Drosophila melanogaster: one gene and its partner. The gene in region 2 interacts genetically with the main gene of each other region. Each region holds a gene or a part of one and is shown on either strand. Other genes may lie near its edges. The genes, in order: Prx5 and Prx3.

What was found.
Region 1: of Prx3 (region 2) and Prx5, changing one enhances a phenotype caused by changing the other (phenotypic enhancement), as found in Drosophila melanogaster (one study listed by BioGRID).

The regions. Positions count from the first base shown.
Region 1 is NT_033777.3:18,164,840-18,169,088, reverse strand, and holds Prx5 (peroxiredoxin 5), read left to right. Parts: upstream 1-1,815; 5' UTR 1,816-1,910; coding exon of another isoform or gene 1,911-1,958; intron 1,959-2,017; coding exon of another isoform or gene 2,018-2,362; 5' UTR 2,363-2,626; coding exon 2,627-2,734; intron 2,735-2,928; coding exon 2,929-3,063; intron 3,064-3,193; coding exon 3,194-3,523; 3' UTR 3,524-3,647; downstream 3,648-4,249. Other genes in the region: CG7215 (uncharacterized protein), read left to right, coding at 1,911-1,958, 2,018-2,362; Cbp20 (cap binding protein 20), read right to left, coding at 3,717-3,915, 4,040-4,249.
Region 2 is NT_033777.3:17,544,494-17,548,213, reverse strand, and holds Prx3 (peroxiredoxin 3), read left to right. Parts: upstream 1-1,682; 5' UTR 1,683-1,825; coding exon 1,826-1,858; intron 1,859-1,964; coding exon 1,965-2,031; intron 2,032-2,162; coding exon 2,163-2,304; intron 2,305-2,360; coding exon 2,361-2,823; 3' UTR 2,824-2,992; downstream 2,993-3,720. Other genes in the region: SF1 (splicing factor 1), read right to left, coding at 3,282-3,720. UniProt on the Drosophila melanogaster protein: Thiol-specific peroxidase that catalyzes the reduction of hydrogen peroxide and organic hydroperoxides to water and alcohols, respectively. Plays a role in cell protection against oxidative stress by detoxifying peroxides.

The DNA of each region.
Region 1 (4,249 bases), 620 kb from region 2:
CGCTGCGCGCTTTCCAATTGGAAATGCCTTAATGGCGGAAAACCGCTTCGTATCGGAGTTCCTAAGTTGTCACAAGATGTCCCCACAGAACCGCGATCATATTCTCATTCTCTAGCATAGAAAATCCGGTTCTAAACGGTACCGAAAACACGTTCATGCAGCGTTCCTCCGATTAGTGCTGTAACTTCCAAGTGGACAGGTGTTGTCGGTGATGTGGAATTTCGGATTCCCATTTAAATGTTAGCATCAACACTTTATGCAGGTCTTCAGGCGTTTCATTGTTTGGCATTGTTCATTTCGCATAAAACTATACTCGAAACGAAAATAAGTAACAAAAATGCCAAAACACTGGCGCAGAGAGAGCGTACTTGAAAAGAGAGTAGAGAGAGAGAGGAGAGCAAGCGAGACGAGCAACAAGTTGAGAAGCAATGGCCGTCGACCAATTGCCAGGGTTGCCAGACATGCCAATAGAAATGGGGAAGGAAGAGCGCTTTTGGGTGGTGTTGGTGTTTTTCAAATTTTTTTTTCATTTCTTTTTGGAGGTGCAAGGATGGGCAATCATCAACACAAGTATTGTTGGGGCACCCAGCAAGTACTCATAAGTTTTGTTGTTGCAAGGAAGGGGTGAAACAGAGAGGGAGAGAGACGGAGACAGTCGAGAGCGTAAAAGTAAAATGTGTACTAGGCACGATTAATAGTTGTAGTTGCACTTCCAAGACTCAAACACACAATTATTATTAAATATATATATATTTATATATATATATGTGCACATATATAAGTGGGGAAACAAATATAACTTTGAATGTCAAGGGGCGAGGTTAATTTGTGGGTTATATTTTCAGAGGGGGGTTTTTAATGGGTCTTATTTCGCCAATTTACCGCCAGAAGCTGCAAGAACTTGTTCAATTTGGCCCTGCTGCGATATAGGTTCGCCAACATCAAGTTCACTGCTGATAAAAGCTAGTTCTTTGCGTAAAATGCGAATTCTAACAAAAACGCTTGCACACGCACACAGAATCACAGCACAGCGCACACACACACACGCACACCCCGCTCTCGCGTTAAAATTCAGTCGTCGAGGCTACACGAATTATTTGCGCTGCAATTTCTTCGATCGCTGCGATTCGCTTCGATTTTCGCGTGCGAATTCCACAAGGCTCGCTCGCGAATTTCACACCCAATAGCTCGGCGGTCTATCGGCACCGGGGTCAAGTTCACCTTTTCGCTTAGAACGCACAACATCAACGCTCTGTGCAATTGTAAATAATAATTTATGTAAACTGTCTTATACACGCAACGTTGTCGGTGCTCAATAGAAAATAGAGTTACCAGGGCTGCAGGCGTGCGGCGGCGTTGCCTGACCCAGCCGACCCTCGATAGTTACTTTTAGGAAGATTTTACCGACTCCGTTTAAAAGCTAAAACGAGCTTTTGCTTATGCTATTTACTTATTTATATTTACTATCTTTATACCTTACTCTCCTCTACTGTCTTATTGCCAAATGCGAAAGACTTAAAGATCATTATTAATTATAATAAACCGAATGTTTACAAACTGTTATTTAATTGTTGATCTCACATTATTCTTTAATTTTGTAAAATAATAACTTCGAGTGGTTTTCGATAGCTTGTACATAATTTGTGCTAGCTGCATTAAAATATTAATAATTTTAAATAACATTTGGCAATTTACAAGAATCATATATATGTACTATATATTAATATAAGGAAATATTTTTGTAAATTATATATTAGCAAATATTGCGGCACTTGTTTTACAAACCAGGGCCGCTTGGCCTAATGACACTTGGTGGCAATACAGGTGGCAACGCCAAAGACAGATTGTTTATATCGCTCGACTTCTCGAGTTTGACTTTTAATTTTTTAATAAATTTTACGGCAATTGCTATGCAGATAACAATCAAGGTGCTGAAGGGCAAGGACTGCACCATCGAGGTAAGAATGAACCTTGCCAAAATCAAGTGAGGTCGCTAATATGGTAATATTTCACACAGGTGGCGCCGACATCGACGATTCTGGAGGTGAAACACCAGATCGAGGCGGAACTGCAGATATCGGCTACAAATCAAAAGCTACTGCTGTTGGGGCGACCGCTTAACAATGAACAGACAATTGCGTCATATCCCAACATCAAGGAGGGCACCAAACTCAATCTGGTGGTGATAAAGCCCTGTTTAAGGGACAGCATCCTGCGGGGATTCCGCAAGCACTATTCGGAGCCCCTAGCTGAGCGTATGACCAATGAGTTTATGGCCGACTTCGAGCGGAAAATCAACGAGCAGAGCCTGGACGACCTGGAGAGACTGGCGGACAGCATAGTCAACAGAGCGGCCACATAGCGCCATTGAAGACCCAATACCAACCACCACCACCCCCTCCAAAAATATGATGGAAGTCTATCCTTACAGCATAATATTTTTATTTCCCCCCTTTAAAAAAACAAACTAACTAAAAAATATGAGGTAGTAAAAATTAAGACTTGACTGAAAACACACGGCCCATATTCTTTTTTGCGACGGTCTGGCAACGCTCCACCGGCCAGTTGCAGTCTTTGGCTGTGTGCGTGCGTGCCTGTGTGTGTGAGAAGAAGAAAGAGAGGAGAAATGCGTGTGCTGTCGTGCAAATTTCTTGGCCGAGTTGTTAACTCCGCGCTGCCCCAACAAATCATTTCACTGCGATCCCTGTCCAAAACCAGTGCAGCTATGGTGAAAGTAAGTGCAGGTTGACCGGCAAACGCGGATTTCCGGCTGTGCGGCAGTCCGGATTCCATTACATAAGCCGGTGCCGAGCTGCATAAATATTGATTGCGGCGGCACCCAGAAATTACAGCGTTTCAAGGTTATCGCCTCCATCTTGCTGCCTCTTTTCTCTAAGTACGCCTGTCTGCCTCCCACTTTATTTCCAGGTAGGAGACTCCCTGCCATCGGTGGATCTGTTCGAGGACTCGCCAGCCAACAAAATCAACACCGGCGATCTCGTCAATGGCAAGAAGGTGATCATCTTCGGCGTTCCCGGCGCCTTCACTCCAGGCTGCTCAAAGGTGCGTAGGTAGCATAGTTGCAAAGTCATCTGCTTTGAGTTTCCGAATATTGTAGAAACTTCCAGCAGTATAGTGTAATTTATGCAGCTTATGTATTCCAACTGAATAATGCATTTCCCCACACCCACAGACCCACTTGCCCGGCTATGTGAGCTCCGCCGATGAGCTGAAGTCCAAGCAGGGCGTGGACGAGATTGTCTGCGTTTCGGTCAACGATCCCTTTGTGATGTCCGCCTGGGGCAAGGAGCACGGAGCCGCGGGCAAGGTGCGCCTCCTAGCTGATCCCGCCGGCGGTTTCACCAAGGCCCTGGATGTGACCATCGATCTGCCACCACTTGGCGGCGTGCGCTCAAAGCGCTACTCGCTGGTGGTGGAGAACGGCAAGGTGACCGAGCTGAATGTCGAGCCCGATGGCACCGGACTCAGCTGCTCGCTGGCCAACAACATTGGCAAGAAGTAAATGGAATCCAGTCAGCCCGAAAACACTAGAAACTCATACATGCTAATGCTAGGCCGCAATGATATCAATTACGTCTTCAAAAGAACTATGTAAAACGTACAATATATATGCGATTAGAGATGTTATGTCTAAGGGGTATGCTTTAATATCTAATTGGGGGGCTTATAGTCTTTACAGTCATTTTATCTAATAACTAGCGATTGTCCGTGTTGGGTGCAATCTTCTGTGACAACAGTTTGCCATAACCCCCGCGGCCGGCATCGTAATCCGTGCGGTATTCATCTCGCACCTGTCCGCCGGTTTTGCCGCGTCCATACTGCCTGCCCTCCACGAAGCCGGCGTCCCAGTCCACACGAATCAGACGGTCGTCCAAGCGAGTGCCATTCACAAATCTTTTGTGGGAGAAGAAAAGAGTGTTGAAGTTAGTTAAGAGATAATGATACCCCATCTGATTACTTCTACAAATGCCGGAAAAAAGGCGGCTTTTTCTAGCGTGGAGAGATGGATATGGCTCACCTCATGGCCGCCTCCGCCTCCGATCGGACATAGTACTCCACGAAGCAGAAGCCGCAGGGCGTCTTCTTATACTTGTCCAGGCCCATCACAATCACACGAACATCGCCGCAGCGGGAGAAGAGCTCGTGGATCTGCTCCTCGGTGGTGTAGAAGCTCAAGTTTCCCACGTAAAGTGTACACGAGTCGCGGAGCGATCGCTCTTGCTCGGAG
Region 2 (3,720 bases):
TTTGTTTAAATTATGCAAATCTGCGCAAATCCTGCGGGCGGGCTGGCCATCGGACAAATAGCGATACCCATCCCGGATTCGAACTGGTCTGGATTCTCGCAGACAAAGCGACGTGCACTTTTAATTGGTAAAAGTAGTCCAACTGTCTGGGAATTAGTGCACGGCCATGGATTTTCTAAGCGTGCTCGGGGAGTTCCTGGAAATCCCTGCTATACACACACACACACACACACTTTTCGGAACCCCTTGCCAATCTGTCCGTAATTACTTAGCGCTGCCTTTTAACGGAGCCCACGACCACATGACCCCAGTGCCGAGGCCCCAACTCATAAACAAGTTAACGACCAGGTACACTGAGAGAAAGAAGTGCTACACATTATTAGTTCAAGCTCAAGAATCAAATTAAAAGAAAGGTATACATTCTTCTTAAAGGAGATATTAGTTAACTTGAATTTTATATTTAAAAAAAAGTAATAACGTATTCATTTGTATATGGATCTCAAAAATAGTTTTGTTTTGTCTAAAAAAAAGTCTTTTTGAGTTTTTGTTACAATATTATAGTTATTACCCATTTTTTCAAGTGTTTTTTTCGGGAATGGTTAAATGGAATGCGAAGAAGGACGAGTGGGCTGGTAGCCACTTGGAGCGCGTAATTTGCGCCAAATTACAGATGAAAAGCAGCGAAAATTGTAAATGGCGGGGGAGCGAGCTGAGGAGTTGGGTGGCATAGCGCCACCCCTGGCAGGGGATGCGAAATGGGGGAGGCGAGCGAAATTGCAAACATGGGAATTGACTAATTGCGGGAAAGCAAGAGAGTCGAGCGCCATTGGTGGATATGGGCTTGGATTCGGGAATGGAAATGGAAATGGGAACGGACAAGGAGCGAGATGTGTGGGCGTTTTGGAATCCGTCAGATGTTTTGCCAACTTCAGACCAAATATGCAAAAATATTTGAGGACACGCATGTATCTATCGTTATTGTTTCGGCATACCAAGCCGAACGCGGCGGCATCTAGCTGGATACAAAAGTATCTAGATCGGGCATTGTAGCCGGGAAAAGACAAAACCAAACCCTCCTCGAGAAGGGAGAGAATCCAAAGCCTGGGCAACTGAGCCGCTTTCGGGCATTTAGTGGATTAACGAGCGGCGAACAAAACGCATGTAGTGCAAATAGTTGGTTGGTTCGCCGGGTAAGAGGCTCATTACCATTGTGCGGCGTGTGCAGTACGTGGTAAATATTTTGCTACACTTTCCATTATCCATCGCCGGCCTCATTCCACCGTGGACAATGCACAAAGGACACGGCAGGAGAAGAAGATGGACTTCTGAGGGGTATGCGGCTTCTAAGGGATATGAGGCGGTGGTTTCTAATATAATCAGAGCAGCACATGTGAAGAGGTGATCAGAAGATACGTGCTTATCTCTGATCTTCAAGGCATGTTCGTCTGCAAGGATTAAGAGAGCGATATATAAAAGAACACTTTTAAATGTAAAACTAATAAACAGAGAAAAGAAGTTAAAGTTTTTTTGATCATCACATTTTTAATATTAATAGATCTTTGATCGTATTTAATAGACTTTTTCAAGTTATTTGAAATGAATTATAATATTTGAAAAAATGAAATTGAATATCGCGCCACATAATTATCGATAGCCAACCTCAAGTACTGTGTGGCCAGCTTCCTGTGTATTTTGAGCTTTAAGCAGAGCTGGTTACACCCTGCTGTCAAGTTTGTTTTCACTTTTTTTACGAAAAGTTCTGCCGGCTTACCGTCAAATTCTGACTTAATATAAGCCTTATATAAACGTTATCTATTAGAACAAGATGTCTTTCGTAGCACGCTCACTGATTCGCAATGTAAGTTGGTCGAACGACCCAGAGTTGTTCGAAAACATGCCGCGGCGATTACGTAATTGGCTGAAACCGCGTTCTAATGCTGAATCTTATATATTATGCATTTTAGGTGCCGCTGATGGGCAAGGCCATCCTGAGTCAGCAGAAACAGATTGCCGCCCGCCTCCTGCATCAAAGTGAGTTAAGATCCCCAACATTAAAGCCCTATAAACAGATAGATTCCACGATTCGTTGGGATCTGGGCAGAAAGCCAATTTCAAAGTTTTGTATAATATTTAGCCTAAACATGTTTCTTAATCCCTTTTAGCCGCTCCCCTTGCGGCAGTCCGCGTCCAGCAACCTGCTCCCGATTTCAAGGGTCTGGCTGTGGTGGACAACAGCTTCCAGGAGGTTAAGCTGGAAGACTACAGGGGCAAGTACCTGGTGCTCTTCTTCTACCCACTAGATTTGTGAGTAAACTGAACTTTGCATTGAACTATTTCCTTATCTGCGATCCCATTTGCAGCACATTCGTTTGCCCCACCGAAATTGTTGCATTTAGCGAGAGGATCAAGGAGTTCCATGACATTAACACCGAGGTTCTGGGCGTTTCCGTGGACTCCCACTTCAGCCATCTCACCTGGTGCAATGTCGACCGCAAGAACGGCGGAGTGGGCCAGCTGAAGTACCCGCTCCTCTCCGATTTGACCAAGAAGATCTCTGCCGACTACGATGTGTTGCTGGACAAGGAGGGCATCTCGCTGCGCGGCACCTTCATCATTGACCCCAATGGCATCCTGCGCCAGTACTCCATTAATGATTTGCCCGTGGGCCGATCCGTCGACGAGGTTCTGCGCCTGATCAAAGCCTTCCAGTTCGTCGAGCAGCACGGAGAAGTCTGCCCGGCCAACTGGAATCCCAACTCGAATCCGGCTACCATTAAGCCCGATGTGGAGGAGTCCAAGAAGTACTTCAGCAAGCACGGCTAGAGGATCATCTGATTATTTCTTAAACACCCTAAACATTCACTACACCAAAAGACTCGCAAAATAAAGAGGATAAAGATTGGAATTTTCTGTATAACAATTTAAAAACAAAAACCCTAGGCATCGCACTAACTAATTATGCCTAATAAATCGATCTTACAGATGTGGGAATTAAGCATTTCTTTTGTGAGAATCAGCTTCACATACTAATTACTATGCTTAATTGCTATTAAAACTGCCGATTTAGTGGTTTTATCGTTTTATCCGTCCTTTATTTGAAGCATCGTAAATACAAATTAGTTTTGTAGATTTGACTCGGTTATCTTTTATGGTGAAAGCGAATATGTGGTCCGGGATTAAAATTACGTTCATAATTGATTGCAGGGACAGTCTCACAGGGTCGAGCACTATCGTTGGAGCAGCTGAGTGTTCTCAGGATCGATCTTATGAAGTCCAAAAGCTCAAGCGGATGGCGGTGGAGGTGGCGGCGGCTGCGACAGGCTCAAGGCTGGTGGCGGCGGTGCGCAGGGCGGAGGTGGAGGCGGCGCATAGCCGCCGCCCCAGCCACTGTAAGCGCCACCACCCCACGGCGGCATGGGCGGGGCACTGGTGCCGGGTGGCGGCGGGATTAGCGGTGGCAAGGTGCCCGGTATAGGTGGATTCAGCGGTTCTGTTGCCGGCGGCGGAGGCTGCGGTGCGCTCATCCACGGCATCAGCGGCGGCGGCATCGGAGGCGGTGCTTGAGTGCCCGGCGGTGCCGGCACATAGGCCGCCATTGCGTGCTCCATGCCAAGGCTCATGCCGTGATCCATCGCTGCCAAACCGTGACCGTGCTGGTCCAATCCCATACCGTGCTCCATGCCCATGCCGTGTTCGTGCGCCGCCGCTCCCCATCCGCCC